Linked DNA regions of Rhinolophus ferrumequinum. The protein of the gene in region 1 purifies or fractionates together with the protein of each later gene. This does not show direct contact. Links are inferred from orthologs where the notes say so. Each region holds a gene or a part of one and is shown in the gene's direction. Other genes may lie near its edges.

Region 1 (7,384 bases):
TGACACTGTGAGCAGCTCTGTGTACTCTTGTGTGTGGAGGTATCAACACACATCGCTTCAGTCGGTATACGTGAGGGACCCCCTTCCAAGGGACAGAAGACATACTCAGGACAGGAATGGAAGGCAGGGGATGGCTGGAATGGTAGCCAACAAAAAGGTCAGATGACCAGTCTGGGACCGTGGGGTTGTCCGTGGGCCTTCCTGTCACTCATCTCTTATCTCTCAAGGCCCAGCTCAGCCTGCAGCCCTGTGGGAAATGGTAGAAAAGGAGAGGGGGAGATTAGGGGGACCAAATAGCCTCTGGAGGGATATTTAGACCCCATAGGTGGGGGTGCTCCCCGCAGTGCCAACGCCCTTCCCAGCACACTTAGGTGAATTGCTCTCCCAAAACAGAATCTGTTCTCCCATTTAACAAACCCTCACATACCGTGTTTCCCCGAAAACAAGACCTAACCGGAAAATAAGCCCTAGCATGATTTTTCAGGATGACATCCCCTGAACATAAGCCCTAACGCGTCTTTTGGAGCAAAAATTAATATAAGACCCCGTCTTATTTTCGGGGAAACACGGTAGAAGCACGCACTGAGTCAGGTGCCCTTCTAAGCCAGACAGGTTAAATGGTCAACCGAGGCACAAAGCTGATGGCACGGGGCTGAGCCCGGCTCCGTGGCTCAGCCTCCTCTCTACCCCACAGTTGCTAACAGCAAGCAGCACCACTTACTGAGTGTTTACCGTGGGTCGGCAACGGTTGGGAGGCCTCCGCTGCTTTAGTTCATGAACACCTGAAAAAAATACTCCAAAAAAGTATGTATATTCGTACTCATTTTACTAACGAAAAAGTGAGGCTGAGTCCGGATGAGTAACCTGCCCTGACCACACTGAGTTTAACGAGTAGATTTCAGATGGTGCCACCCCAGCCCGCCCCCCACCCCCCGAGTCTTGCTCACACTTACTTGGGCTGCTTTTCTCTCTCTTTTTTAAACCACTCACTCCTCAATTCACTCAGCTCTGGATTTGCTTTTGGGCTGCTTCTCCCCGGCAGCCCCAGAGATGGGGATGGTGGGACCATATATCCTGAACATAGTCATGGGTAAGCAGCTGTCCTCGACACAACAGCACCCCTTAGCGAGTCGCCACACAAGCCCGCTGCAGAATCACAGTAGTCCACACTCATTACAGGGATTGTCTAGAACTGCCCTGGCCCTGTGAAAGCCTCCTGCCCGGCCGCCCCACAGATCCCTAGCTCTCTCACCCTGCAGGAGCCCCTCATCTGAAACAGAAAGAAACCCCTCTCAGAACCTGTGCTGGAAATGTGCCTGGCCCCACCTTGTTCAGGAACCCCAAGCCTCACCCCCTGTAAGAACTGCAGTCCTAGCCTGGTACAGGAACCTAGCTCTGGAACTCTAAGGAACCTTCTCTAATTATCAACAGGAAACCCATCCTGACCCTGGACAGGAGCACCAGTCCTCGTATTGTATAGGAGGAACCCCTGTCCTGCCATGGGAATCTCTGAACCCACACTGTAAGGAAGCCCCTGAACCACCTCTTTCACAAACGCCTATCCTGACCCTCTTTCTGAGCTGTGATCTCTCTCTAGGAATCCTACCTTGACCCTGGACAGGCCACCTCTGTCCTCACACTGTACTGGAGCCCTGCCCTCCAGGTAGCAGTTTACAAATACTTCGCTCACAATAAAATCTAGTTCTAACCCACGGACCTGACTCTCTCTGCAGAAATCTCCATCCCATCTGCAACCTCTTCAGGAACCGATTGAGTTCAGGAGCCCTTGCTTCCATTGTTGGCAATGACCCCCTGACGTCGCTCTGTACAACAATCCCTATCTTGCACCCCACCTTGTAGAGTCCACAGGAACCCATGATCCAGTCTTGAACCTACATGGAAAACCCTTTCCCGACCCTCTACTTTAAGCCCAGACCTCATTCTATACAGTTACCTACAGCTTCACGTAGCACAGAACCCCCTGCCCAGACACTGTACAGGGCTTCCCATCCTCACCCCGTAAGCTCCGTTGCCGTGACCTTCTACAGGAAGCCTTGCCTACAACTGTACTGGAAACTCGAACTGGATTCTACAGAAAACCTTTTCCTGACTTTCAATGGAAATCCTTAACTTGATTGGTTTACAGAAATCTCTGACCCGATCCTTCATAGGAACTCCCAACCTTACACTTTGGAAACACTCTCCTGAACCTGTTTGGGAAACCCTGACGTGACTCTCTCTGACAGCCCTTGCCCTGGCTTTGTTCTGGAAGCCCTACCTTCATCTTATGCAGGAACCACTGTCATGACTGTGGCTAGTGGCTACTGCATTAAGCAGCGTAGCTCTGTAGAGTCTACAGAATCCTGTAGCAGGCACCACCACAGGTTTATCAACCCTGTTCTCTTCCTAAGCTCACTCACTTTCCCAGCCTCCCTTATAGTTAGACGTGGACATGTGACAGTTCTGATCGATGAAGTGTGGGCAGAGTGACATACACTACTTCAAGGCCTGGCCCATAAAAACCTCTCATGGAATCCTCCTCCTTTCCCTGTCTACCAGCTGAATAGTAAAAACTCCGAGGGCTCAGAGGAGGGCAGAGCCACAAAACAGAAGTTGCCTGGGTCCATTAATGACCAATAGTAAATATTTACGTTGGATTTTGTATGAGCAAGAAATAAACATTTGCTAAGCTCCTGAGATTCTGGGTTTGTTATAGCAGCTAGCCTAATTTAGTTCAATTAATAAGAATCTCGGCTGAATCTGGACACAAACACCTGATCCTACTGTCCACGAGTATATGAATGCAGCTCTGAACCTGTACAGAAACACCTGTGCTGACTCTGAAGCTGGATCACCTGATCTCTTTGTAGGAATAATGCAGTCTAAGGAGCCCCATCCTGAACTTGTATGGGAACCCCTAGTCTTGAGCTCTCTAGAAACAACTGTCTTGTCCTATATATAAACCCCTGCTTGGTTCAGTGGAGGCACACTAAGGAAACTATAGAAATCCCTGTCCAGAAACATTTGCTTGACCCAGTAGAAGAACACCAGAAGTGACCGGACCTTGTCCATGAATCCCTCTCCTTACACCTCACATGAAAGGAATACCTCTCCTCAGGAAGCATGGAACCTCTGCACTTATCCTGTAAAAGGATCCCAGTCAGATAAAGGAAGCCAAAGACTGACAGTCTACTGCAGGGACCCATAAATTATGGCATTCAGGACAAAGCCAGATTGCAGCCCGTTTTTACATTTTTTTAAGAGAAAGAACGGAAAGAAAGGAGAAAAGAAAGAAGAATTTACCAGAGGCCGTACATGGCCTGCAAAGCCTAAAATATTACTATCTGGTCCTGCGTCGAAAAAGTTTGATGACTTCTGCTCCACAGAAACCTCTCTTCTGACTATACAGAAAAATGGGCCTTGACACTTACAAGACTCCCTACTCTATTACTTTGTAGGCATCACAACCCCAGAATATTCCTCAGTGTGTATCATTGTATGTGTTTTCTTTGGTGTATGAGGAGGTTTAAAGGTCTTAGGGCCGTGACCCTCTTCCACCAGGACAAAAGACATATTCAGGCAGAAAGAGTGGAAGGGAAGGGAAGGCTGGAACTGGTGTTTTCAAGAGGGTCAGAGGGCCCAGCTAGTGGGTGGTGGGGCTGTCAATCTGTTTGTTAGTCAGCGATGCTGAACCCCAGACCGCTTATCTCTCGGGCCCCAGCCTACAGCCCCGGTAGGAAATGGTGAAGAATGAGAAAGGGAGATTAGGGAGACAAACCGGCCTCCTGCGGGGCTATTTAGACCTGGGGTGGGAGGGAGTTGGCGGGGGGCCGCAAGGGGGCAACTACCCTTCCTCCCAGGCACACACTTTCCATTACAACTTGGGAGCGAAGGTTACTCGGTGGAGGAGACTGACAGGGAAAGCTGCCGCCCAAGAAAAACTCCCCTCCCTGAGTCCCTTCTGTCCCTAGGCACTATTTTATCACAATTTTCCAGATGAGGAAACTGAAGCACAGAGATGTTTAGTAACTTGCCCGAGGTCACATGGCTAAGTCGCATAACCTCAGTTTCCTTATCTGCAAAACAGCCTTAATAATGGGAACTACCTCACAGAATTGTGGCTTACAGCAATGCCTGACACACAATACTTGTTATCATTATCATTTAATACTTGCCCCTACTAAGACTCCTTTCGCCCACCATCCATTTTCACGGCAAGACATTAATAGCTAACACTTGGTAAGTGCGGCCTGTGTACCACCTTCGTGAACATTAACTTAGAAAACCCTCGCTACATTTAGCATCATCACCAATCCCATTTGGCCGCCAGCAGCCTTCCTCCAGTTTCAACCCAGCTCCAGCCCGCCCGCGCCACGTCATCACAGCGCGCCGCGCGGGAAGCTGCAGGGAGGAGGGAAGACGCCCTTTCCCAACTCCCTCGCTTGCTCGCTTGCTCTCTTTAGTCATCGCACGGCACAGTAGCCCCAGATCCGGAGGGCTCCTAAGGTGACTGGACAGGGATTGAGTGACGGCGACCAGGAAAGCCAGGGAGACCGCGGCAAGGGTTGGGGGAGGGGCGAGCTTGGGTTTGAGCGCCGCGTCGAACCGCCGCAGCGCGCTTCGCGCAGGCGCAGCAAGGCCCGCGTCGCGGGCGGACGCGCAAACCCGCGGTTTGTGCGCTCGCGGGAGGTGTGGCCCGCACGAGGGGCGCGGTCCTGCGGCCCGATCCTGGTGTGGGCGGGACCTGGGCGGGCAGTAGAGAGACTTGGCCCAAAGGAAAAGCTGGCCTCCGGCTCCCACAGTCCCACAGGTCGTCGGGAATTGGGCGGTCCTAGCCGTGGGCGGAGTTTGAGAAAAGGGCTGTGCCCAGTGAATGGAGCCGAAGGGATTGGTTGGCGTCAACGGGGGGGGTTGGCGGGAGGCGGCTCCAAACTCGCTGAAGGGGCTTGGGGAAGCGACGGGGGTAGGGTTTGGCGGGGGGTGGGGCCTGGTAGAAGGAAAGGGGCCGTCCCCAGAGGGACAGGGCCTGTTGTAACAGTAGGGGCGGGATCTGGCCAAGTGGTAGGTGCCGGTGCGGCCCGATAAGGGGTGGAGTTAAGTGGTTCGTTAAGGGTGGAGTTGGGGCCGGGGTCGGTCTTGGGTCTGGGTCTGGCTGAGTGAAAGGGTGGGTGATTATCCCGGGCGATTGGATGGAACGGGCGTCTATGAAGAGGCGAGGTCTGGGCGAAGCTGAGAAGAATGAAAGGATCTGGGAATGGGGCTTGGTAGAGCGGAAGGGTTGTGATTTGCTGGAAAGAGCAGGCCCTAGAGTGGACTGAGCCTGGGGGTTAATTGCTCTTTGAAAGGGTAAGACTTTGAAAGGGGAAAGAATACAGTTAAAGGGGTGGAGTCTAGTGGAATGGGCGGGACCAGGTGAATTAGACACCCGAGTGGAGGGAGAGAGCCTTGAGAGAGGCGGAGTTTAGAAGGCAGTGGGGAGTAGGATAGCGGGAGAGATGGAGACTAGTATAGGGGGCGGGGCCTGAGAAGGGGCTGGGATGTGGGGTCCTCAGGGCACCCCAGCCCTTTCTGCACCCCTCAGAACCGCGTCAGGGGTGAAATCTCCCCGACCATGACCTCCACCGGTCAGGATTCCACCACAACCAGGCAGCGAAGGAGTAGGCACAACCCCCACTCGCCCCCCCACGACTCCAGCGTCACCTCGGTGAGGCCCCAGACCCGTCCTGATGAGGGGGAGGGGGAGCAGCCGGCCATGCAGTGGACTCTGACCCTTCTTTCTGTTTGGCAGAAGCGAGGTGCTAAGAAGGGTGCCGTACTCCGCTCCAGCCCCAAACTAGCGGAGGTTAAGAAGAAAGGCAGAATGAAGAAGCTCAGCCAAGAAACAGGGCAAGACCTAATCGTGGGCCTGCAAGGGCTGGTGAGAGTGGCCTGGCCACAATTTAGCCTCCTGTGACAATCAAAATCCTGAGGTTGTCCATCCTGGACAATATGGGATGTTCTCTCTGACTCAGGCCCTAAATCGATCCGTGTCTCACATTTTTTTCCTTGCAGGATCTGAACCTTGAGGCCAAGACACTGTCTGGTACTGGCTTGGTGTTCGATGAGCAGCTAAATGAATTCCACTGCCTCTGGGATGACAGGTGAGGCTGACTCCTCTAGGCTGTCCCCGAACCACACAAATATGCAGACTTAGAGCTACTAGCAGGAACAAATCCTTTCTTACACTAGCCTAGAGACCAGAAGCAGACGATTTAGGGAGGTGGGGCTCAGGCTTGAAAGGGTTCTTTTCATTTAGCCAGCAAATATTTATTGAGCGCCTACTGTGTGCCCCGAGTTGGTGATACAAATGTGTCAAACAAGACAGACAGGGTCCCTCCTCAAGGAGCTGATAGGTGAGTAGAGCAGATCATTAAACACCCAGACGCAGTGTGAAATGTTTAATGAAGGAGGACTTAAGACCACGGGCTTCAAGAATGTTTGATAGGGACCCTAGAGTAGCATCCAGGGTTCCCAGAAGGCATCCTTGAAGAAGCGACGTTTGTGCTGAAACAGGAGAATTCCCCCTCCCATTCGCTCACAACGTGTTGTAATTCATCAGCAAATTCTTTTGGCTCTCTGCTCGAAATGTATTCAGTATCTGACCTTTCTCCTCACTGTCTGCACTGCTACCACCATCATCACTCATCGAGACTTGCAGAGGCCTCCTCACTGGTCCCCTGCTTCCACCTTCTCCCCTGCTGTGTTTTCCACACAGCAACCTACAAAAATACGTACGAGGTGATGTTCTCTTTCTTAAAATCTGTCAAGGACAGACCATTGCCTTCCAGGTGAAGTCCAAATTCTTCATCCCGGCCTCTTAGGTTCCACGTGATCTGGCTCCACATCACCTTGGTGACCTCATGAGCTCATCCTCCCCCCTCATTCGCTTTGCTTCACTTCACCCACACTGGTCCCCTTGCTATTCTTCCAACATGCCAGGCACTCCCTCGACTCGGGTCTTTCCCCTGTCCAGTCTCTCTTCCAGAGATCCGTTTCTACCTTCTCTCCTCCCAGTTAATATGCGTATCTCAAGGAGACTTTCTCAGAGAGAGCTTTGCCTGGTCTTTCCCCTCCCCCCACACCTGATCTTCACGCTCTTCCTAACCCATGCCACTGTTTGCTCATTACTATGTTCATGTGTTTACCGGTTGAGTATCGATGTCTCCTAACCCCGTGGAAGAGTCAGGATGTCAAAAGGCTTCATTATTGAATGTAGATCTACTGTCTCCTGAGGAGCTAGGGACGTGGCCCTGGTCAAAGCAAACAAAACCCCTGCCTTTGTGGAGACTACGTTTTCGAGGCGGGGAGACAGTCCACAAACAAAAAGTAAATGGTACAGTGTGTT
Region 2 (7,919 bases), on another chromosome or scaffold:
CACAGAGGATAGTGATTTGCCAGCAACTGACCGGCAGCCTGATTCCAGAACAGCTGTTCTAGTTCTCTGCTCTGTAGCTCTTCAGATTTCACTAAGGTTTTCATTTAATCCTGACAACTAAAGGTAGAAGGTAGGTTTTCTTTAGGGACCTTAAATAACGTGTCCAGGGTCTCACAGCTGGGTAGTGGCAATCCTGAGTTTTCACCAGAGCTGCCCAACTAGGACCTGAGCTCTGAGCCATTCTTTTACTTCCCCAGAGGTTCTCAAACTGTTCCCACTGACGTTCCAGCAACTGAACCCAGGTGCTTGGTTACTCAAATGGTATTACAACATTTTTGGTCTATTTTCAGAAAATGTTAATGGACTTTTCTCAGCTGTTAAGAAATTATACATTCTCAGCTGCTTAAGAAATTATAAGCATTTCTTATAATTTTTTTTATCAGTGGCAGATGACATAAGTTCTAGTAAATGATGGAACAAGAAGTAATGAACAGGTAGTGTATGTTACCAGAAATATCCAAATACCTGAGCTAGTCTCATGGGTGTCAATTTTTGTTAGAACATTGCATAATGGTCTTTTTTTATGCCAATAAGTGTAATGAAATTACAGCACGTCCTCCAATAACGTCTTTATAATGTTGATAAGATGCCAAGGGAACTTAACTCTTTATATCAATTAACTTATGATAAAATGGGTCCAGTTATGCATTGTTTCACTTAAAGTCACAAAGCTACCATGACACTGAGGACTTACTGAACCCCATTTTGTAGTGTCCCATATAAAAGCAACAGGACTTTGAATCTGAGATGTTTGAGAGCCATACACAATCACATCTGAAAAAATTCAAAATATACCCATATATGGTTGTAAAACAAATCTAATTAAAACCCTATTTAAAAAAAAAAAAGAACACCCTATGACAAGAATGCCTCCATTGCAGAGAAACTTGCAGGGCTTCTGGAGAGGAATTCTCCCACAGCCTGCAGAGGGATTTGGGAGCCCCTTTCCCTCACCCAGGCCTGGCTGGCTACCTTGGAGGTGGGGAGGTGGGGCCTGTGAAAGCCAGGTCTGAGCAAGAGATCATCCTCCTTCAGAGGCCAAAGCTATTACACATCCTGCACGCAGAGGTTGCCAGTGGCCTCTTTTCATATAGTCCCAGGCTCAAGCAGCCTTACGGCATTTAGACCTGGACATGCTTCCTTAGGGCTACGGTCAGGGCCAGGAAAAGAACTATTTACCTCACAATTTGTTCCAGGTGGAGAGTAGATGGCTGTGATTTCTGGATTGAGAACACAAAAACCCCAGAGAGTTTAACTTTCTGCTTCTCTCTGATGGTAATTTTCCATCCATGCAGGGTGTGGCCTTGACTCATTTGTGGGGAGGATGTGGCCATCCATAGGGGAAGAGCCTTCTGCTTGATTCTGCCTTTCAGACTGGCCAGTGGGGAGAGAGAGAAAAGAGTCTGGTGCTGAGTCATTATTGGGTTACTTACCAGCTTACTTACAGGATGGATTCTAAGATGGAGGTTTGGAAGTTGTCTCAGCTTCTGGGCCCAATTTGGGAGTGGTGGCAAGGAATTCATGAGTCACAATTCCCCAGAGTCCTCCTCCCCCAGAAAGGATGGGAATAAAGTAGGCTTCAATTCATTCGAAGGGGCATCATTCTCTCTGGAGGACAGGACTTTCCGTAAGTATTTCAGAACCCCCCTGCAATGGGGCCAAACATGCCACCCTTTAAGTTAAAGCATTGCCCACCAACATTATCTAGGACAGAGACCAGAGTGTCCTCAGTCCTAGCCATCCTTTCCGGAATAAGTGGGTCAGATTAGCTGGTAGCCAGTGAGCACAGAGGGGGAGACTGGAAGCATGTTGCCAAGGAAAAAGCAGACTGGTGAACTGCATGCAGCAAGAGGACTTCCGGCGAAGGGGGCACTTGACCCATTACTCACCGATGCCTTTCTTGGTGGTCTTCCAAATCTTGATGACTTTTGAGGGATAAGATCTGCTTACATTTGCATCTTAAGGAGCCTGAACTCTGGCTACACTTGTAGGGAAAAGGGAGAAAGCATAGGGCCTCAAAGGGAGGGTTTGGCGGGCAGGATTAACCCACGCTAGGGAGGCTTTTCTTGGGAGCCCTAGCAGTCCTGAGCTAGAGAAAGATTGCTGGAGGTCCCATCAGCTGATAGAGACCCTGGCTGAGGTTGTACTTCCTCTGGAATGAATAAGGAGTCCTCAAGCTTCTTCCCTCTTCCAAGTGCTGGTGGGGCATTTCTTCAGGAGGGGGGACCTAGATACACAGTTGCATTCAGAAAACATTCTTCACTGTTCCCTTTCCCTGGAATGGCCTTCCCATACCCATCTCTATCCTAACCAACCCTCCATGTCTCCTCCATGAAACCCTCCCTTTCCCACACAGATAGCCTGTTCTCTCTGTATCCTCAACGCCAAAGAAACCAACTTCCTCTTCCTTCTAGACTTTTTCGGAGGGGGGCGGGGAGGAACTCTTGTGCCACCCTGGTGGGATTGAAGAGATGTTGGGAGTCTGAAGGCAGGCACAGAATAAATTTAAAGATCTACTTGGTCTGGCTCTGGAAAGGGCATATAAACTCCAAAGTGATAAACACTTCTGCTCTAAACCTGCCACTGAGGGCCTATGGGCTGCCCTGGAAATCTGGATTGTCCTGAGAAATAACACTGCTGTTTCTGGCAGAGGCCAAGAGGTCACGCACGGACCGTCACGTCTGTAACCAGGGCCAAAACTCATCTCTGGGCTGCAAGATTGGGTTCACTGTTGTTTGCTGACACACCTACCCCACCAAGGACTCCAAATGACCTTCGCAAGTGAAGCCATTAAACTCCAGATTCTGTGGTTCTGTGGCCCAGAACCCAGAGAGCACAGCAGTATATATCCTCACTCACAGCCCAGTCCAGTGAGCCTCGCAGCTACCACGCCAATCTGGCCACGTCAGTGAGCATGGAAGGCTCTGGAGGAGGAGCCTGGCTGCGAGGAGAATCTGTGTCCTCCCTCAGCTTTCCTGTTTCCTGCACTCCTGGGGTTACTTGTTGCTGGGTCAAGGGAGTGAAGATTAAGGAGGATGGCCAACAGAAAGGCAAATGAGTTACTAGAATTCAGAAAGGCGTTCTCACCCTAGTTACAAGGACAAGCGTCCAGGACTAGTCAATTCCCAAGGAAAGGATGCCTCTTGGGCAGTGCTGTGCTCATTCACACCCAGCATCTGATCAAACCCGACCCTGGGAAACAGGAATTGTCTTCCATTTATTTACAAGGAACTGGACTCACACAGTATAGTATACAATCACAGGGACTGATGAGTGGAATTGGAACTCAGATATGATGGAACCTACCTAAGCTTTCTTCTATACTATGCTGCTTTCCGCAAAAAGACAACACTTTAAGCGCAATGTGACAAATGTGCACTATGCATCTAACGTGAGCAGGATATGCTGGATTTGTCTCTGCCCGTTTCATGGACAGCATTTTATAACAGCTGACCGACCTCTGTCACTGAAGGGCAATAGTTTGCCACCAACTCATCAGTTTAATAGCTGTGCATTTCAATTTTGGGAATGTATCTCGATTTAGAACTTTAAAACACAAGGTAGTACAGCACTGGCCTGCCCATCCCCCTCCCCGTGTTGTCCTCCCCTGTACTTAGCTCATTCTTAGCTGAGGGGCCCTGTAAGGGCCGATCATGCTATTCCTTTTTCTCTGGGTAGGAATGTCATTATCCCTGGTGGGGTATGGCCCGTTTTCCTCTCCACAACTTCGTGTGCTCTCCCTACCTCCATGAACAAGCATTTACTTCCTATCTACGACTAAAGAGACCAGAAAAGGCTCACAGAAGAAATGAAATATTTTATCTCAAACAGAAATTTACTTGTAGGCTGTCACTTTCTCCTCCCAGCTTATCTGGGCTAGAGGAAATCATAATGAAGACCTGTGATTCAGCTGCCGGCAGGGTGTGTGCCTGAGCAGGTCACACCCATTGGTCCCATTTTCCAGGAAACGGACAGAACCTAAAAAGAACAGCCTTCAGGATTTTTAATGAAGTAACATTGTATCTGCTCTCAAAACTTGGCTGAATGAAGGCAAGGGTTAACAGCTGTTTCACTGATTACTGTTTTCAGTGGTTGTGGCTAATTACCGAGAAATTGGAAAATGCCTTGGAGAAAAACAATACTGATTTAAATACACAAGGTTGAAAACAAGCGCTGACTCCTGCAAAGATAATGGGCCCTCACCTTCTGAGTATTTCTTGACGATCAGTTCTGCATTAATAGTAATACTTTCTACTCGCTTTCTATTTCCAGGCTCGTGCTCTGCAGGATTCCAGCCCCTACTAAAGTATTCCCATGGCCCCAACTTGTCCTTCCTTGTTCCAGCCCTAAGAACAAAGGCCTCCCGCTCCCGCTCCAAGCACCTCCCGCCCTCCCTAGTTCTCCCTACCCCCACTCCCGGCCCGACCTCCAACCATCCCATGAAATCTCCGAGCTCCCCAACCTCCTGTTCGGCCCAGTCCCCGAGGTGTGCGCTGGGGTGGGCACCCGTAGGGGTGGGACGTCGCGGGGCGGCGCTGGGGGAATGCTACCCCTGGACCCATAAATCTGGGAACCGCCCGAATAGGCCAGGGCAGCTGGGGTGGCCTGGGCCGAGGGTCAGGAGTACAGCCCTCCTCCAGCGTTCTAAGTTGGCGGCAACAGGTGGCCGAGGCGCCCGGGGGTCTGGGAGGAAAGGACTCCGAGGTTCCGAGGGCGGGTCTTGCCGCCTCCTCGCTTCCCCATTGGCTCCTCACAGAGTGCGAGGATCGATTTTTATGTACCGTATCCTTCCGCCACGGAATGTAGTCCTTCCCAAAGGGCAACCTAACTGTCTGTTCCGGCGCCGCCGCACTTCCTACAGAAGGGACTGCTCCCCTCGGGGACGCAGGGGGCGGGCCGGGCGAGCGGGGAGCCAGGATTGGGTGGGGGGCGGGGCGGCGGAGGGATTGCGGCGGCCTTGTAGTCGGAATAACCTTGAGGCTGAGGCAGTCGGCTGCACGCAGAAGCGACGCGCGCAGAGCCTCCTGACCTCTCTGCAGTGTACCCGCAGCCCGAGCGAGACCACACCGGAGGTGAGCTGGAGGGAGACAGGCTGAGCCATCCGTCCCCACCTGGGCTCCATCGCCCGGCTAGTGCGGAATCTGGCCGGTCTGCGCACACAGGGCACCCATTCCGGGGCGGCGCGGGATCCTGGGCATCTTGTACCCGGTTGGGGTCGGGAGAGAGGAGAAAGAAGCTGCTCGCGCCTAGGGCCTGCTCTTCAAGGCCCCCAGCTCCTGTTTCTTCCAAAGTCAGATGACTCAGCCAGATCCTCTCCTGCCTCGATCCCTACCCCAATTCTGGTGCGATCCTCGCCTCCCTTCCCACATGCCCTCCGAACCTCCTTTCCTCTCCTCCCTCCCCCTTGCTCTCTTGCTCGCCTCCTCCCCTTGCCCCTTAATACTGATCCATTCGCCCTTCGTCTTCCACCTGCCCGTGCCTCTTTATTCTGATGCTTTCCTTGTAACCTCCGCGTTCCTCCCGCATTCAGGTTCCCGGTGCCCACCTCGTGCCGCCAGCTACCCCATTCATGCGCTTGTTCCGCCCCTCCCCCCCACTCCGGTCACGTCCGCTCCTCGGCATCCTTCTCTGCGCGGTGCGGCCCTCGCCCCTCCCACTCGGGTCTAGTCACGTTCACGCCCCCTCCCCCGCCCATCTGGTCTCGTCCCACTGCTACCCCGCCCCCCAACTCGTGTCCCCCGTCTCCATCACGGCTCCAGTCTCCGACTCCTGGAACCCGTGTCCGGGGTCACCGACGAAGGGCAGTGGTCTGCGGGCCGGCAGAGCTGGGTCGGGTGCGGCCCGGGATGCAGCGGTGGCCCGGGTTACGTAACCCTGGGCCTTTCCGGCTGCAGGGAAAGAAAGGGTTGCACCTGGGTGCTCCAGATTCGATGCGGTGACCCAGGCGCTGCGCTCGCTCCGGGAGCGTGGCGGGGCTCCATCCCGCCGCGGCGGAGCTGCACGTAGTAGCCGGCGCCCGGGACCGGCCCCGCTCCGCCCCGCCGGACGACTGGCCTGCGGACCCGTTACCGCCCAGCCTCACCTCGGGCCTGGCCAGCCAGCCGTCCGTACGGCGCGGAGGCCTCCTCGCCTCTGCTTCACGTTGCTTCACAGATGCGCCCAGATTGTAGAACGCGGAGGTCACGGGGTGGGTGGGAGTAGGTGTGGGTAGCGGACAAATAGGTCTGGTGGTTGGTGCCACGTACCACCTTCACTCAATAAAAACTGTTCAGAAGCTGTTTGCGGGGAGGGGGATGGAGACCCGGATAACTATACTGGCCATTGCCCACAGAGCTCACAGCCTCGTTAGAGGACGAACATACCGGTAGAAGTTATCACTGGTTAGTGTGGTGAGGCAGGTACGCCCTTCCTGCTTGGGGAGGGCTTGGTGACAGGAGGCCTCACAGGGTGGCATCACACAGGGTTTGAAGAAGCAGGAAAGCACCTGCGGTCTGAAGGTTATTTAAAGGCACCCTTGGCTTCTTATCCGTGTGCTTCATTCAAACCCAGGCCATCGATCCCCTGCTATGCAAGTGACCTGATAGGTGACGTCGGTGTATGGTGGATAGAGGCATTGGGAGGTGTCAACAGGCGTTTAGAATCAGGTTTGACTCATACTGACAGGAGTGATGGAGGGCCTTCAGCCCCGGGGCCTGTTTGCCATGTGTAAACTGAGTAACATTTTCCTCATGCTTGTTGAAAGGATTTGTCTCTATGCACGCATCTAGGTGTATGTGTGTTGTAGTGTCTCATCTCTGGCGAGAAGTCCAGCAGAAATGCCTCTAAATGTGTTCTTTTAGTCACTGAGCACAATTAACAGGTAACTGAGCATAAGGGTTAATCTTGATGCCATCCCCAAACACACACTCACAGTTCCTTTTTGGAGGCAGGCTCTAAATACCAGACATCTCCTGGAAACCAATTCCCTCAGGGATCCTGGTACAGTGTTCACAAAGTAGCTAATAATGTGACTTTGTAACTGCACTTCAAACAGGTCTCCTGAGAATGGGGACCTCTAGACAAAGGAAGGGGAGGGCATTTCAGTCTTTGGTGTTTGGCTATAAGCGGAAACAGACTTACAACCCCAAGACTGAAATCTTCCCTACCCGCCAGCTGGGTTCTAGGATTCGCTCAGCCAGCTGGTAAGTGTGAAGTTAGGACTGAAGGCAGGGGGCACTAACCCTCTATTGGCTGTACTGAGGGTGAGGCCACTCCCTAGGGGAACAGCATTGTTAGCAAATAATTTGCCCTCTGGTTGTTTGAGGATGGTGCTGGGAATGCAGTGGCGCTGTTCTGAGGGGCTGGTAACCCATCACCAGGTCTGTGGGGAGGATGACTGAACCTCTCAACGTATCAGCTTTTGAGAGAATCCTCTTCATCAGGTGAGCGGGAAACATGTAATCTTTGCAGGTGTAAAAAGTCCCCTCTCCCCTTTCAGTGAGTCAAATAACAAAGCATGTATTTCCTGCAGTTAAAAATGTCTCAACTAAGTGAAAAATGGTTGTTCCAGGTCCCCAGGCTCTCTGCTGCCCTACGAGCTGAGGTGCAGTGTGGCACAGCCCTATACCCTGGTAATGCAGTCTGCGCCTTCTGCAGTGGGCATGGCAGCCTCATGGGATAAGGGCTGTAGTGGACTTGAATAAGGTATGAAAGAATGTCTTTGAACTCATTTCTGAGTGACTGGACTTGAGGCAAAATATATGGGTGTTAATTTCTTCCTGTCCAGTACAGCTACTCTCATTGTAAGCACTGTGTTAGAAGTAAATAATTTTAGTGTTGAATTCATAGTTGAACCAAGAGCGTTATTGCATCTTTAAGAA
Region 3 (7,118 bases), on another chromosome or scaffold:
GCTCCCTGGCGAGTGCCACGCCGGCCTCTCTGCCCCAGCCCAGCTAGGAGCACGCCGCACCCTTCTTCCGCGACTCGTCCCCCCCTCTGCCTTGAGCGGCTGTCATCCAGTCAGCCGGGCCCAGGCGCCTGGATCCATCCAGGGCCACCGCGCTGTCTCTTCACAGCCCCCCGCCCTAACACCTCGTAGCGCTTCCTTTTATCCTTCCAGAACCTTCCGCTGTCAGGCCGGCCCTCTGCTTTGGGAGCCCCCAGCAGTGCCCGCCCGGGGTAGGTGTCGATCAAGGAAGGGGAGGGACCATCGGATACCAGTTGTGACCCTTGTCCGAGTTCCCTTTCCCCTGGGCTGGGAGTGAGGGGTGTCTTACTTAATGAACAGCCTTAGGGGACCTGCGGGCGGGCGGCCTGACCACCCCAGTTCCGACCAGCGGATCCGACGCGCAGAGCGAGGCGCGCTCTTTCGCTCGCTGCGGGAAACCGGAGCCCCTGCGGGTTCTCGGGCCAGGACCCGACACAGGGCCAGGACTCCAAGGATGCGCTGGGGGAGAAGGGGCTGGATGAACGACGCGGCTCCAGCGAGGTGTGGACGGGGTCGGGTGCAGCCGCCCTTCAGGCGAGCAGCCGAGAAGCGGGCCTCCACCAGCACCCCTCCTCCGCCCCTGGCCTGAGCTCGGGCCGCTTGCGCTCCGGGCCGCACGTTTTTTCTAGGCCAGGCGCGCAGGACTGGGTCCCTAGCGCCGCCCGTCCGGCTTTGTGTTTCTGTGGATGATGGGCCCAGGGCCTTCTGATTTGTATTTGCAGACATGGCTCCGCGTTCGGCCTCGGTCCGCCTCCCTTACCTGCATCAGCATTGCGGAGAGCCATCTCCACTGTCCAGTGAACATGGTGTGTTGATCACCTAGGGGGCGGCCGCTCCCTCAATGCCCCCAGGAGCGTGCAGGCGTCCATTCTTCTGTCCGTGCCAGTAGCCAAGCCCAGAATGGCTGCTCCCAACCTCCAGCAGCTGTGCAGGAGGCCCTGGTTCTCTCATGACCCTGACAACTTGGCAATACCTAACTTTCCATCTATGTCTCTTAGTGGCTTTATTTCATTTCCTAGATGGCTTGAACCCCTTTTCTTTAACCCCATGCCCCAACACACAGGCACATACACACATAGCTCCCAACACCTCTTGGCTAGGCAGGAAGGGCTAAAACGAGGTAATGTCCAGTTTCTGGGGTTTTCCTGAGGGAGTGGTCAGGGAAAGCCCCACCGCCATTTAGGATGGGGGATTGCCATGTGAGGCAGGAGAAAGGGTTCCAGGCAGGGGGAGGGGCCAGGAGAAAGTCACCAGGGGGAATGGGTAGGCAATATTAGGAACTGAAGGCTGGGAGTGTGCCCTCTGGTGTGAGGGAGTGGAAAGGAGTGGCAGCTGGGTCCCAGGGCACTGTGGCCTGCAGGCCATCCCACCCATGACCCTGTCCCCCCTGTAGAAACAAACTGATCTCTTGGGCCTAGGTCTGGAGGATGTTGATCCCTTGTGATCCTCAATCTCAAGGGTGGCTGTGTCTCTGGCTGGCACAGCACCCATATCTAGGCTTCAGAAAACGATTGTCAAGGGATGGGATTATTTTTGGGAAGGAGGAACGGGGAACTGAGGAGGTAGTTACAGCGCACCACACAGGAATAAACCGTATCAGAGGACCTCCTGCCACCCCTCCCTGCACCCAGTGTCCCCAGAAACTCTCAGCTCAGGTTTCTTCCCACTCCCACCATTGACTGTAGTCTCCGCCTGCCAAGCTGATAACCCCAAAGGCAACTAGCACACCTAGGGGGCATCACTTGGGGGCATCAAGTCACCGCACTCCAGCCCCATTCAAAGACGAGGAAACTGAAGCTGGTCATTTGTCCAAAGATGGCAGGGTGGTAGATAGTTGGTCTGATTCAGGCACCAAGCTGCCCCCCTCACAGCGTGTGAATGCCATGCCTAGAGGGTCAGATGGAGGCCAGTGGGCACAGGGGAGGTTGGGGGAGCTCTCTGCAGCTCAGGGAGGGGAAGGACAGAAGGGGACTTTGGTGGGGACAGGGTCTAGTTCGGTCTGGCCTTCCCCGCTGCCAGCTTCCTGCCACCCTGTCCTCCGAGGGCTCTTTTGGCTCCAGGCTCCCTCAGAGTCCCACTCAGCTGCTCCTCACCGCTGCTGCCAGGCTGCCTGGTAAGATGTCATCAAGACTGGTAGCATGGAGCCGGGGATTCCCCTGTTATGACGGCTGGTCATGGGATGCTGACTCACTGCCTTCTATCCAGACCACCTGACCACGCAGGGGCTGGCGGAGAGGGCCCTGCCAGGGGGTTCCCCTGCCGCAGCAGCGTGTTTACCTTCCTGGCCTTGGGGGAGGGTGGGGGAGGGCCTATACTCTGTAGCCAGGCATGCTGGGAAGGCAGCAGCTGGGGCTCCACAGGGGCAGGAGGGGGGACATCTCCAGGCCTGCTTCCCAGGGGCCATTTCCTACCACCCGGTTTCACCCTGAGTTCTCCATCCCTCCCTGCAAACCCACCACGGTCCCACACACGGAGCCAAATGGTCAGAAAGTCGGGAAGTCCTGCCAGTGGCCTCCATTTCCGCCACTTGTTTGGACAGGGACTGCGCCTTAAGCCCTTCCTGAAACCCGGGTTCCCCAGAGCCACAGGGCTCTCCTTGTGTACCCCACCCACTCAGCGAGGGACGCTGCAGCTCTGGAGGCAGGAAGTGGGGTTCTTGGCCCAGTGGGCCGGGATTGCAAGGCTCCTAGGCTGCTGAGTCATTCCCTCGGACACCTGTGGGCCGCACTGCCCCTTCTCTGTCTCCTGACCCTGTCTGCATGGCGGTGGGCAGAGGGTCACTTTTCAGGCTCACAGAGGGGGTGTAGGGAGGGCCTGAGAGGGGACCGTCCTCTCTGCAGAGCTGCTACAGCCTTGCCCACTCTGGAGCCCTCTGGGAAGGACCAGCCATACCTGTGGACAGATCCCTGCTGTGGTCCCACAGACAAATCACCTTTGCACCTGACTAACCAAACCCACCCAACCTCTGGGGATGTCTGTGTTTCCCATCCCTTGAGGTTACCTGCTCCCATCAACCCCACCATGAAAGGATATGACTTTGACTCAGCGGGCCTTGAGCTCCTATTCACAGGTCCCCAACTGGGAGGACTCATAGGGTGACACACCTGCTCACCTTCTTCCACCCCCTCCTCCAGGCCTTGTGAACAGTTCACTTTTGTCACATAAAGCACGTTTCTTGGTTCCTAGCTGGGAGGCTGTTGATCTGAATCCTGGGTTGTCCATGAGGTCAACAGGCCTGAGACCCCCACAAGCCCTTGGGCACCACCTGCTGAACTGAACCCTGTGCTGACAGGCGGTGTCCAGGCACCCATAGGCAGTCTCATGGGCTGCAGTGAACATGCGGTGATGGGGTGATGGCTGAGGCTCCAGGAAGCCTTAGCTGGCCCTCCATCCTGGTGGGGGTGGGAGGTACTGTGCTCTTCCAGCACCTTTAAGACCTACCCCCTATTAAACTGGGAGCTCTTCTGGTGGTCGGGCCTGAGGTGGGGGTCTGTCCCTCAAACCAGTAAAGGGCTGTTATGTGAATGAGGGGCTGTTAAGAGTGGCAGGGTGGGGACAGCACCTTGAGAGCCAGTTTGTTCTGGCATGCCGTGCCCGCTGAGTGCCCATGAGCCTCCTGTTTTCGGGTCTCTGTTGTCCCCCTCCCTCTTATGTTGGGCATCCGCGGCGGCCTGGTACTGCTCTGCTGAGTCACTGGCCAGGCCCAGGCCTGGAAGTGGTCTGGGGCGGGACCCGGGACCTCTGTGGCTCCATTTCCCCAGGTGCAGAGGCCCGAGTCCAGAGTCCAGATGTCGGAGGGCGGGATCGGCCTTTTGGGGCTCCCGGTGCGCTGGGGGAAGTGAGCAAAGGGGTCGAAGATGAGGGGGTCCGGGAAACCCCGAGAGAATGGTGGGTGCCGCGGCGGGGAGTGGGCAACTGGCGCAGGGGGCCGGCAGGGCGGCTCGCGCGCCGCGTCCCGGGCGCGGGGGCGGGGCGTGAGTGTACAGTCCCCGCCCCCAGGAGGCGGAGCTGACTTCCAGCTTCCCCTACAAAAGCCGCGCGCCCGGGGTTGCCGTTGCCCGGTTAGGCTCCTGTTCACAAACGGCTGGAGATGGCGTCGCTCACGGTGAAGGCCTACCTTCTGGGCAAGGAGGACGCAGCGCGTGAGATCCGCCGCTTCAGCTTCTGCTTCGGCCCAGAGCCCGAGGCGGAGGCGGAGGCGGAGGCCGCGGCGGGCCCCAGGCCCTGCGAGCGGCTACTGAGCCGGGTGGCCGCCCTGTTCCCTGCGCTGCGGCCCGGCGGCTTCCAGGCGCACTATCGCGGTGAGCGGGCCGGGCGTCCTCAGGAGCGGTGCGGGACCCTGACGCAGGCCTTCCCTGTGGGGCGGGTGGGGGCCCCTTCCCTCCTAACGGGCCTGGTGGTATCTGTGGGGGTCTGCTGTGGTCGCTCAGTGGGTGGGAGGCGGCTCACATGGTCCCCAGTGCGACCTCGGGTGCCAGCCTCAGGTGACCAGGAGTGGTGACCAAGGCCGGCCCTTGTGGGGCCAGGCGCTGCCAGGCTCTCAGAGGATCGCAGGCCTGGGGCATAAGAGGTCTCCCCTCCCCCGCCCCCTCCCGCCATGATGCTGCAGATCTTGGCAAGGGCTCCCTGGGGCGTCCTCGTCGGCTCGCAGCAGCCACTGGGTGGTCAGGCGGGCACTCAGGTTACACTGACATTTTGCTGCTGCCCAGTCTGAGCCTGCCTGTTTCGGGTGGGGGTTCATATCGTGCCCCGGGAAGAGCCTGAGCGGGCAGGGGAGAAGGGTGATGCGGGTAAACAAGTGTGTGTGGGGGTGTAGGGGACTCGGGGCTGTGTGGCCTGATGGGAGAACCCATGGCAGGGGGAGGGGAGGAGAGAGCGGGGACATACCACAGACCACCCAAGGCCAAGGCTGAGCCCAGACTTTATATTGCTGGTAGTCGGCAGAGGAACGAGATCAAAACCTTCAGAAATGTCGGTGTGGGACTAGAGTCCAGGAACTAGCCCAGTGTCTTGACTGGTGGCTTTGAGGGGTGGGGTGGGGGAGGTGTGGCTGGGAAGGAGGTGAGCAGCCAAGGCCGGCCCCTGGGCGGGGTTGTGCTGGCACCGCCCTTAGGAGTGCTGGCCAGGCCCACTCCTGGTTTGTTTTATTTTTTTAAACAACTTTATTGAGCTATAATTCACATGCCATACAATTCACCCATTTAAAGTGTACAATTTTTAGCATAGTCACCGATTTCTGCAACCATGATCATCATTTTAGAAATGTTTCATCACCTTTAGTTATCCTCCCATCCCCATCTTCCCATTCCCCCAGCCCTAAGCAACCACTAATCTTTTCTTTTTCTCTATGGATTTCCCTATCTTGGACATTTCATATAAACATATAAATGGACACATATAATATGTAGTCTTTTGTAACTGGCTTCTTATTCTTAGCATGACGTTTTCCATAATGTAGTGTGAAAAGTATTTCGTTCTTTTTTTGTGGCTGAGTAATACCCCATTGTATGGACATACCACTTTTGTTTGTCCATTTGTTAGTTTGATGGATGTGTGGGTTGTTTTCGCCTTTTGACACTGCCCTTGTTCTTATGGTCCATGCTGCGTCTGGTGGCCCACAAACCTGACCCGGCCTGCAGATGTATGATGTGGTTTGGCCTACCTTGTGGTGCTTTAAAATCATTTGAGCCAACATCTGAAAAGGACAGTACATACAAATACATAATTTTAGCTTCTTTGGGGGAGGAAGCAAACAGGTGTACTCGTCTACTTTACTCTCCTAAACCACAAGAGGCCCAAGAGCTTTGAAGGGGCTGGCCTGATGCAGGTCACGGGTGGGATCACCCATAGCTGAAGATGGGTCTGGGCCTGGGCCTGTTTAGATGCGGACCGAGGCAGCACCCTTGAGACGGAGCAGCTGGCCCAGAGGCAGCACGGCAGGAGGCCCGCTCCTCCTGTCCATACATACTCTACCCCTTGCGCACGCCTGGTGCCCGGATTAGAGTGCTCGCGTTCTAGGCAGTGGCATGCTGGCCTCAGCCCTGCTTCCCCCGCCTCAGATACTGGGCTTCAGTCACAGCCCTGCGAGTGCCCCTCAGCCCTTGTCCGCAGTGGTGTCCAGCTGAGAAACCCTGGGTGCTCATGTGCTGTCTTTTAAACAACCTAGATGAGGACGGAGATTTGGTTGCCTTTTCCAGTGATGAGGAGCTGACGATGGCAATGGCATATGTGAAGGATGACATCTTCCGTATTTACATTAAAGGTAACGGGTAGCTCTGGGGTGCTCCCTGCTGAGTAAAACCAGCTGGCTGGAGGTTATGGAGAAATGCCCCCAGTGAAGGGGGAGAGGAGCAGCGGGCAGTGCTTGCGCTGAAAAGGAGGCCGTGTCCACCACAGGGGGTGGGGCGGAGGGGCTGGCTTCACTGCTTGTGGTGCCCAGACCGTGCTGTGGGCTGGGGGCAGCTTTGGGGGCACTTGGGGTTGATTTCAGTGAAAGGCAGGCCAAAGCTATGTAGACACAGCCACCGCCCAGGTAATGCGCAGGTACTGGGAACCTGGCAGGTTCTCAGGTCACTTTGTTGCTGTCACTTGAGCAACTGAGTTCCTCATGGATTCGGTGTCTGAAGAGTGGAGCCAGGGTCCTACTGACATTGGTGACAGCCCCGTAGTAGTGACAAGGGGGACACTACGTGGGGCCCCACCTTAAGGCTCTCTACCCTCCTTGCAGAGAAGAAGGAGTGCCGGCGGGACCACCGCCCCCCATGTGCTCAGGAGGCACCCCGCAACATGGTACACCCCAATGTGATCTGCGATGGTTGCAACGGGCCAGTGGTGGGGACCCGCTACAAGTGCAGCGTCTGTCCTGACTATGACCTGTGTGCCAGCTGCGAGGGGAAGGGCATGCACAGGGAGCACAGCAAGCTCGCCTTCCCCAACCCCTTTGGGTACCTCTCTGAGGTGAGCAGGGCCTCCCTGCGGGTGGGGTGGGGTGGGTGTGGGGCAGCAGGAGCCCCCTGATTCAGCCCCGCTTGTTCTTCTGC
Region 4 (7,486 bases), on another chromosome or scaffold:
AAGAACCTCCTGGAACCACAATTTTGGGGAGACCTATGAGGCCAGGATGCCTCAGCCTCCCCACACCCCCAGACTGCTGGGAGGATCTTTAGGCCCCAGGGATTTTCTCCTTTCCAGCACTAGGAGTCTGTCTGAGGCACCTCAGTTTTCTCATGTGGAGAATGGGGACAACTAGCCCCCCCAGGAGGAGGGTTGGGGAGAAGGAAGGGCTAAGCTGGTGTGTGTGTGGGGGAAGCCCAAGACACATTGTTTTCTATTTCTGAAAAAGTCAATCAAATAAGCAAGGCTGGGAACTCCCCAGGAGGACTGGGCATTTCTCTGACTGCCCTGGGGGACTGGAAGAGAGAGGGTAGTTCTTAAAGATTTTTTAAAACTCTCCCAAGAAGTGTCAGCAGTTCCCAGTTTCTCCAGGGCAGGGATCCCCCTTTCACAGATGACTCCATCAGGGAGCAGGGAAGGCCCAGGGCAGGCTGGGCCTGAGGGCCCTGGGAGGGGCTCTGGCTAAAGGCCAGGCCTGGGTGGGGACCAGGCCCCTGGCTGCTGCCCAGAAGAGCACACAGGGCCCAGCCCCTCCCTTCTGCCTCTGAGCCTCACTTCAGGGGCTGATCACCTCGGGCTGGTCACCTCGTGGGGGGACCTTCCCTGACTGCCCTTTAAGGAGCTCCCTCCTTCCTAAGGAAACCTGCTGCTTTCCTTCATAGGCCATCAGACTTTGTTCTCTGCTCTCTTGTTTGAGGTGTGTCTCAGGGATCACACCTGCTTTATTCAGGGTGTTACTCAAAACTGTTCGGTGCTGTTGTGTTCTGGAAGCATGCCTGGCTGGTTGGTGCTGGTGCGTAGGATGCAGGAGCAATGTGATCCAGGAGGTTTGGCTCTTGGCTGTGCCCTTGCTGTGTGATCCTGGCTGGGTTGCCTCCCCTCTCTGAGCAGGAAAGCTACAGCTGTTATGGTAGAGGATGGAGGAAGTCATGGCAGGCTTCCTGGAGAGGGCAGCCTGAGAGCTAGCCTTGAAAGCTGAGGTCAAGTTAGGCAGCAGGCAGAGGAATGGCAAGCCCAGTCCCTCCCAGAACCTCAGGAATCCTGAGGTCCAAAATCTCCTCTTGAGACCATCCTGGGAGCAGAGGAGGAAGCAAGGGAAAGAAGTGGCAGAAAAGAACAGGCTTGGAGCCTCAGGACCCATTTCATTACTGACTAAGGGCTGGTGGTTGTTCTCTCTGGGCCTCAGGAGATAAGAGCTGGCTGGGGTGGGAGGAATTTAGACTTTGGAGCAGCCTTTGGACCCAGTCCCTGGGGGCACTTCAGGGGACACTTTACCCAGGGAGGGGCAGTGTGAGGCCTGGTAGGGGGTGGGGGACTGGGCCTAGAGTCCTTCACACTGGACTCTGGGCCTGGGTGTCTCACCAGTCCTGCCTCAGTTTCCTCATCTGTAAAAAGAGTGTGTTTGCTGGAAATGTTTCATCCCTTCATTCAGTTACCCTTCACTGAGCACCTACTGTGTGTGTGTGGGTCTTTCTTCCACCTCTCAGCCCCACCTCAGTTTCTTCCTCTGAAAAATGGAGCTGGGGGTCCCCACCTGGTGGGGCGGCAAAGGGGCTCCAACACTCAGGGCAAGGGGACTGTTTTCCGGAAGAGGGTGAGGGAGTGGGCCTTTGGAATGGACTGTAAATGTCCCCTGGCCTGGAGGCCTTTGCAGGGTGGGGGAACCACAAAGAGAAAAAAATCACCAGAAAGGCAGGTGAAGTCCCCATTGGCTGAGCTAGTGTGGGCTGTGTGCCTGCCCCAGTGACAGCTCTGAAACTCCCTGCAAGGGCAAAGTTCCCAAGCGAAGAACCTGTTCACTTCCTCTCCCGCTGGTCTCCTCCCCCTTCCTCTGGCCTACTCCACTTCCTCTTTTCCTCCTCCCGCTTGCCTTTTCTCTGCAGCTCCTCCCCTCCTCCAAGGCTTGTGGCCCAGTGCCCACCGCCAAATACCCTCCATCTGCCTAGGGTCTTTTGTAAGGGCTGAGGAAGGACACCCAGGCACTCACTCATTCAACAAAGCAGAGCCCTGGGGTGGGTATAGTGGATGTGATGGCGACTCCGGAAGGGTTTGCTGAGGATGGACCCCCAGCTCTATTTTTCAGAGGAAGGAACTGAGGTGGGGCTGAGAAGGGAAAGAAACCGCACACACAGTAGGTGCTCAGTGAGGGGTAACTGAAAGGGGATGAAACATTCCAGCAGAGTCTGGTGGGGTAGGCTGAGTTCTAGATGCTGCCCCAGTGCAGTTGCTTTAAGTGGGGGGAGGGTGCATGTTGCAGATGCTAAAGGGCTCCCACTGAGGAGGGACCTTCTAGGCTGGGCCTTGAAGGATGCATAGGAGAGCACCAGGAAACGGCTGCTACAGATGGCCGGGATTGTCCCAGTCTCAGGTCAGGTGTCCCAGTCTTGGCCAGCCCTTGGTTTAGAAGAGGTGAGGTGGCAGCACAAGTCCTGCTTGGGGACCAGGTCTGCTCTCCACCTCGTGTCGCTTCCTGGAGCCATCCCAGAGTCTCCCATCCCATGCCCTGCAGCCCTGGTCCCAGCCTACCCAGCACCCCTCCAGGCTCAGCGAACAGCCAGAAGTAGCCTCATCAACAGGCAGCAGAAAGGGTCACCCCCTAGTCCCTGAATCACAGGGTTGGCAGGTCCCAAGGTGGCTGGCCAGATGCCCGTGACTGAGAGACACAGGCCAGGGACAGAGCAGTCTGGTCCTTGGGAAGCCGGGAGTGGACAGGCTAGGAATGTCCACCCAGGGCGGGGATGGTGACTGGGGAGCTGCAGCGAGTTTCTTGGCAGTTATCTGGGAATGCTAGCATGTGGCTCTGAGCCTGTGGGCTCTGCTGTGCACTAGGTGACGGTCACCCTTCCCACCTGGTTGTGGCCTCCACAACCTTCAGAGACCTGCCACCAGCCTCCTAGGCAGTGGGCTGGACCAAGCCACCTCTTCCCTGGACACACATTCCACTCCCATATATGGACTAATTGGTCACTGGTTACAACACTCTCTCAGTGAGCACCTATTATGTGCTGCAAAGCCCTGGGCAGGCCTGGCTGGAGACAGACCAGTGGTGACAGGTCAGTGCCCCCACCTAAACCACCTTTCCCATTCTCATTCCTGTGACAATGCAGCTTCTTGTCACCACCTCTGAGAAGGTGCATGCTCCTCTAGGCAGAGCCACACAGATGTCCCTCTGGGGTCCCACAGCCCCTGGGCTTCTGTCTGCCATACCCTGAGCACTGTTGGCCACCCTCTGGATACAGGCTCTGCCTGCCTAACTGGCAGCTCTCAAAGCAGGGAACCACCCAGAACAGGACACCCAAGTTTTGCCTAGTATCTGGAATGTCTCAGGGCAATAAAGAGTGACAAGGAGAGGGTCTCCTCTGAAGGCAGCTGCTCTTCAGCCACTGTCCCTTATGCCACGCCCCCCCAACCCTAACTCATCTCTGGCTCATTGAGTGCCTTTCCCCAGGCTTCGGGGACCTCCAGATGGTCCAGGAGGGCAGTTCAGCTGTGGCTACACATGACAGAGGATGGATGGGCTCTAGAGCTGTGCTGAGCAGTCCTGCCTGCCTACCAGTGCCCACCAGTGTCTGGCAGCTGCCCTGGACACCGGCCTAACCTCCCAGGCCTGGCCTTGTCTGGGTGTGACCAGGCAGCCCTGAGAGGTAGCCTGGCTCCATGGGAACAAGTTTCTGTGCTCTATAGAACCCACCTCTTCCCAGGCCGGCAGCAGGGAAGCCTTGGAGGCCTTTTTACAGGCAACTAACTTCCAGCCACTGGCTCCTGGGGGCCTGCCCTGTCCCTGGGGACTGTGGCCCTGAGGCCCTTGTTAAGTAGCTACAAGCCCCCTGACTCCCCCAGGCCGTATCATATTTCGCAGCTCCAGGTCTCTGAGTAGAAACGATCCCCATTTAGCAAGGTGAGCACCCCGGGCCAGAGGTACCCTAACCCAGGCTTTCTGGGTAGTTGAGCCAATGTTGGGAAGAGTGGATGGTGACTCCCTAACCACCCCTCCCCCACAACTGCTCCTTAAGCATGCGTCCACAGCAACCAGGGACCCTCGCATCTATGTTGACTCTTGTGCCCACGGGGGAGCGGGGAGCTCACGGCACATGTGACATCCACACCCGGAGGGTCCCGAGGTGGGGGACACGGAGAGACCGGCAGGCCGAGTCCAGGCCTGGCTACGCCTGGCCGGACTAAGCACTGCCCAGCGGGGCGGTGGCCCACGGCTTGCACCTTTCATCCGCGGGCCCAGCTCCTAAGAGCGGCCAACGCCAAAACTCTCTCCCTCCTCCTCTTCCTCAATCTCGCTCTCGCTCCCAGTCCATCTCTCTCTTTTTTTTTTTTTTTGCAAAAGGAGGGGAGAGGGGGTGAAAAAATGCTGCACTGTGCGGCGAGGCCGGTGAGTGAGCGGCGCGGGGCCAATCAGCGCTCGCCGTTCCGAAAGTTGCCTTTTATGGCTCGAGCGGCCGCGGCGCCGCCCTATAAAACCCGGCGGCGCGACGCGCAGCCACTGCCGAGTCCGCGTCCACCCGCCAACACAGGCCTCTCGCCTTCGCCGCTCCGCCGCCGCTGCCAGTCTACACAACCTCCAGGTAAGGCCCCAAGCCGGCAGGGCGAACTGACTGGCGCCGGGCCCCGGCCTCCCCCGGGTACACAGCGCCTCTCGCCTCGGCCCCGAGGGCAGCACTTGAGCTTGGGGAGTGGGGCTCGTGAGCCTCCCAGGTCGGGGCCGGGCTGCGCCCGGGCCGTGCGCCCAGGGTGCTACCGTCGGGGCCGCGGGCCTTCGTCGGAACGGACAATTAGCTCCATTGGGCCACCGGCTGCTAGGGTGGGTGGGTGGGTGGGCGCGGCGGGACCGCGGGCCGGGTGGGGGCTGGGGCCACCACTGATCCTGCGCGTGCGCTTTCGGGCTGGCCGCCGCGGTCGGCCGGAAGGGGTGGGTCGCCGCGGCGCCAAGGCGCATGCGCACATTTCTTGGCCGCGCCGTCGGCTCCCGCGGGTGTGGCCTCCGCGCGCCTGGTCGGCGGCGCTTTTTGAACGGGGCAGGGGCGGGGCCGGCGGCTGGGGAGGGGCTGGAGGCCTGGCTTCGTGCCGCGCGCCGCGGGGCCGTCTCTAACCAGCGTTTGCCTTTTATGGTAATAACGCGGCCGCCCCGGCTTCCTTTGTCCCCAATCTCGGCGCGCGCCGGCGCCCTCTGGCGGCTCGAAGGCGCGTTTTGCCGGAAGTGGGCAGGGCGGGGGCCGCCCCACCCGACGCGGGCTCATGGTCCCCTTTCCTCGCAGCTCGCCATGGATGACGATATCGCTGCGCTCGTGGTCGACAATGGCTCCGGCATGTGCAAGGCCGGCTTCGCGGGCGACGATGCCCCCCGGGCTGTCTTCCCCTCCATCGTGGGGCGCCCCCGGCACCAGGTAGGACGCCAGCCTCGGGTCTGACTTGGGAGGTGGGGTCTCTGAACGGGCGGAAGATGAAGTCGGCTCCTCCGCAGGGGAGGCCTTGGGCTTTCTGCGTTGGGTCGTGCCCATGCTGAGGGCGCCTTGCTCCTCCCTCCGCAGGGTGTGATGGTGGGCATGGGCCAGAAGGACTCCTACGTGGGCGACGAGGCCCAGAGTAAGAGAGGCATCCTGACCCTGAAGTATCCCATCGAGCACGGTATCGTCACCAACTGGGACGATATGGAGAAGATCTGGCATCACACCTTTTACAATGAGCTGCGTGTGGCTCCTGAGGAGCACCCTGTGCTGTTGACTGAGGCTCCCCTGAACCCCAAGGCCAACCGTGAGAAGATGACCCAGGTCAGTGCTCTACTGGCCTTCCTCGGGAAGCCACTCCTTCTTTTCTGGCCCTTCTGTGCCACGCCTTTTCTCACTTGTTCTTTCTTCTGCCATTCTCCTAGGATTTTCTTCTCTGACCTGAGTCTCCTTTGGAACTCTGCAGGTTCTATTTGCTTTTTTCCAGATGGAATCTTTTTCGTGTTTGGTTTTCTGACTAGGTGTTTAAAGTATAAAGTGCTGTGGGTGTAGGTACTAACACTGGCTCATGTGGCAAACCCAATGAGGATGGTGTGAAGTGGCCTGGGAGTGTGTATTCAGTAGGTGCACAGTAGATCTGAAAATCCCCATCTTGGGGTCCCCAGCACACTTAGCGGCGTTCCTTGCACTCTGCATGTTCCCAGTTTGGCCTGGCTGTCTGATGGCTTCCTGAGAGTGAAGTGGCCCATCTTTCCCTACAGATCATGTTCGAGACCTTCAACACTCCAGCCATGTACGTGGCCATCCAGGCTGTGCTGTCCCTGTACGCCTCTGGCCGCACCACTGGCATTGTGATGGACTCCGGTGATGGGGTCACCCACACTGTGCCCATCTACGAGGGGTACGCCCTCCCCCACGCCATCCTGCGTCTGGACCTGGCTGGCCGGGACCTGACGGACTACCTCATGAAGATCCTCACAGAGCGTGGCTACAGCTTCACCACCACAGCTGAGCGGGAAATTGTGCGTGACATCAAGGAGAAGCTCTGCTATGTCGCCCTGGACTTCGAGCAGGAGATGGCCACTGCGGCCTCCAGCTCTTCTCTGGAGAAGAGCTACGAGTTGCCTGACGGCCAGGTCATCACCATTGGCAATGAGCGGTTCCGCTGCCCCGAGGCGCTTTTCCAGCCTTCCTTCCTGGGTGAGTAAGGCTTTGACCTTGCCACCACACAATGGTCACCCTTGTGGCCACACTGGAAGCTAAGTCTGGCCTCTGTTCCCCTCAGGCATGGAATCCTGTGGCATCCATGAAACTACCTTCAACTCCATCATGAAGTGTGATGTCGACATCCGCAAGGACCTCTATGCCAACACAGTGTTGTCTGGTGGGACCACCATGTACCCAGGTATCGCCGATAGAATGCAGAAGGAGATCACCGCTCTGGCTCCCAGCACGATGAAGATTAAGGTGAGTGTCCGCGCAGCCTGTGCTGGCCTGGTCACATGGAGTGTTAGAGAGTTCCCATGCTGACTTTACTGTAGGATGCAGCCACCTGTGGTTGTCAAGGCAACCTTTCTGGGGTAACGCACAGCCCTTGGGGCTGTTCCATCAAGGTCCTTATGCTAACTGTCCTGTTCTCTCCCAGATCATTGCGCCCCCTGAGCGCAAGTACTCGGTGTGGATCGGTGGCTCTATCCTGGCCTCGCTGTCCACCTTCCAGCAGATGTGGATCAGCAAGCAGGAATACGACGAGTCCGGCCCCTCCATCGTCCACCGCAAATGCTTCTAGGCGGACTGTTACTTAGTTGGTTACACCCTTTCTTGACAACCTAACTTGCGCAGAAAACGAGATGAGATTGGCATGGCTTTATTTGTTTTTCTTTGTTTTGTTTTTTTGATTTTTTTTTTTTTTTTTTTTTTTTTTTGGCGCTTGACTCAGGATTTAAAAACTGGAACGGTGAAGGTGACAGCAGTCGGTTGGAGCGAGCATC

The links.
Region 2: the proteins of HDAC6 (region 1) and PKM purify together in Homo sapiens (affinity purification with mass spectrometry, with the first as the bait; 4 studies listed by BioGRID). This does not show direct contact. The link is inferred for Rhinolophus ferrumequinum from reciprocal best matches to the Homo sapiens genes HDAC6 and PKM.
Region 3: the proteins of HDAC6 (region 1) and SQSTM1 purify together in Homo sapiens (affinity purification with western blotting; 6 studies listed by BioGRID). This does not show direct contact. The link is inferred for Rhinolophus ferrumequinum from reciprocal best matches to the Homo sapiens genes HDAC6 and SQSTM1.
Region 4: the proteins of HDAC6 (region 1) and ACTB purify together in Homo sapiens (affinity purification with mass spectrometry; 3 studies listed by BioGRID, with this or other methods). This does not show direct contact. The link is inferred for Rhinolophus ferrumequinum from reciprocal best matches to the Homo sapiens genes HDAC6 and ACTB.

What each region holds. Positions count from the first base shown.
Region 1 is NC_046284.1:85,813,079-85,820,462, reverse strand, and holds the start of HDAC6 (histone deacetylase 6), read left to right. Parts: upstream 1-4,384; 5' UTR 4,385-4,506; intron 4,507-5,016; exon of another isoform or gene 5,017-5,061; intron 5,062-5,087; exon of another isoform or gene 5,088-5,346; intron 5,347-5,581; 5' UTR 5,582-5,611; coding exon 5,612-5,704; intron 5,705-5,788; coding exon 5,789-5,917; intron 5,918-6,051; coding exon 6,052-6,140; intron 6,141-7,384.
Region 2 is NC_046289.1:97,339,760-97,347,678, reverse strand, and holds the start of PKM (pyruvate kinase PKM), read left to right. Parts: upstream 1-4,909; 5' UTR 4,910-5,132; intron 5,133-7,919. UniProt on the Homo sapiens protein: Catalyzes the final rate-limiting step of glycolysis by mediating the transfer of a phosphoryl group from phosphoenolpyruvate (PEP) to ADP, generating ATP.
Region 3 is NC_046307.1:2,982,384-2,989,501, forward strand, and holds the start of SQSTM1 (sequestosome-1), read left to right. Parts: upstream 1-4,112; 5' UTR 4,113-4,168; coding exon 4,169-4,379; intron 4,380-6,244; coding exon 6,245-6,340; intron 6,341-6,805; coding exon 6,806-7,035; intron 7,036-7,118. UniProt on the Homo sapiens protein: Molecular adapter required for selective macroautophagy (aggrephagy) by acting as a bridge between polyubiquitinated proteins and autophagosomes.
Region 4 is NC_046307.1:41,580,108-41,587,593, forward strand, and holds the start of ACTB (actin, cytoplasmic 1), read left to right. Parts: upstream 1-4,482; 5' UTR 4,483-4,503; coding exon of another isoform or gene 4,504-4,646; intron 4,647-4,897; coding exon of another isoform or gene 4,898-5,288; exon of another isoform or gene 5,289-5,300; intron 5,301-5,306; 5' UTR 5,307-5,312; coding exon 5,313-5,435; intron 5,436-5,579; coding exon 5,580-5,819; intron 5,820-6,256; coding exon 6,257-6,695; intron 6,696-6,780; coding exon 6,781-6,962; intron 6,963-7,140; coding exon 7,141-7,284; 3' UTR 7,285-7,486. Other genes in the region: translation initiation factor IF-2-like, read right to left, coding at 4,504-4,646, 4,898-5,288. UniProt on the Homo sapiens protein: Actin is a highly conserved protein that polymerizes to produce filaments that form cross-linked networks in the cytoplasm of cells.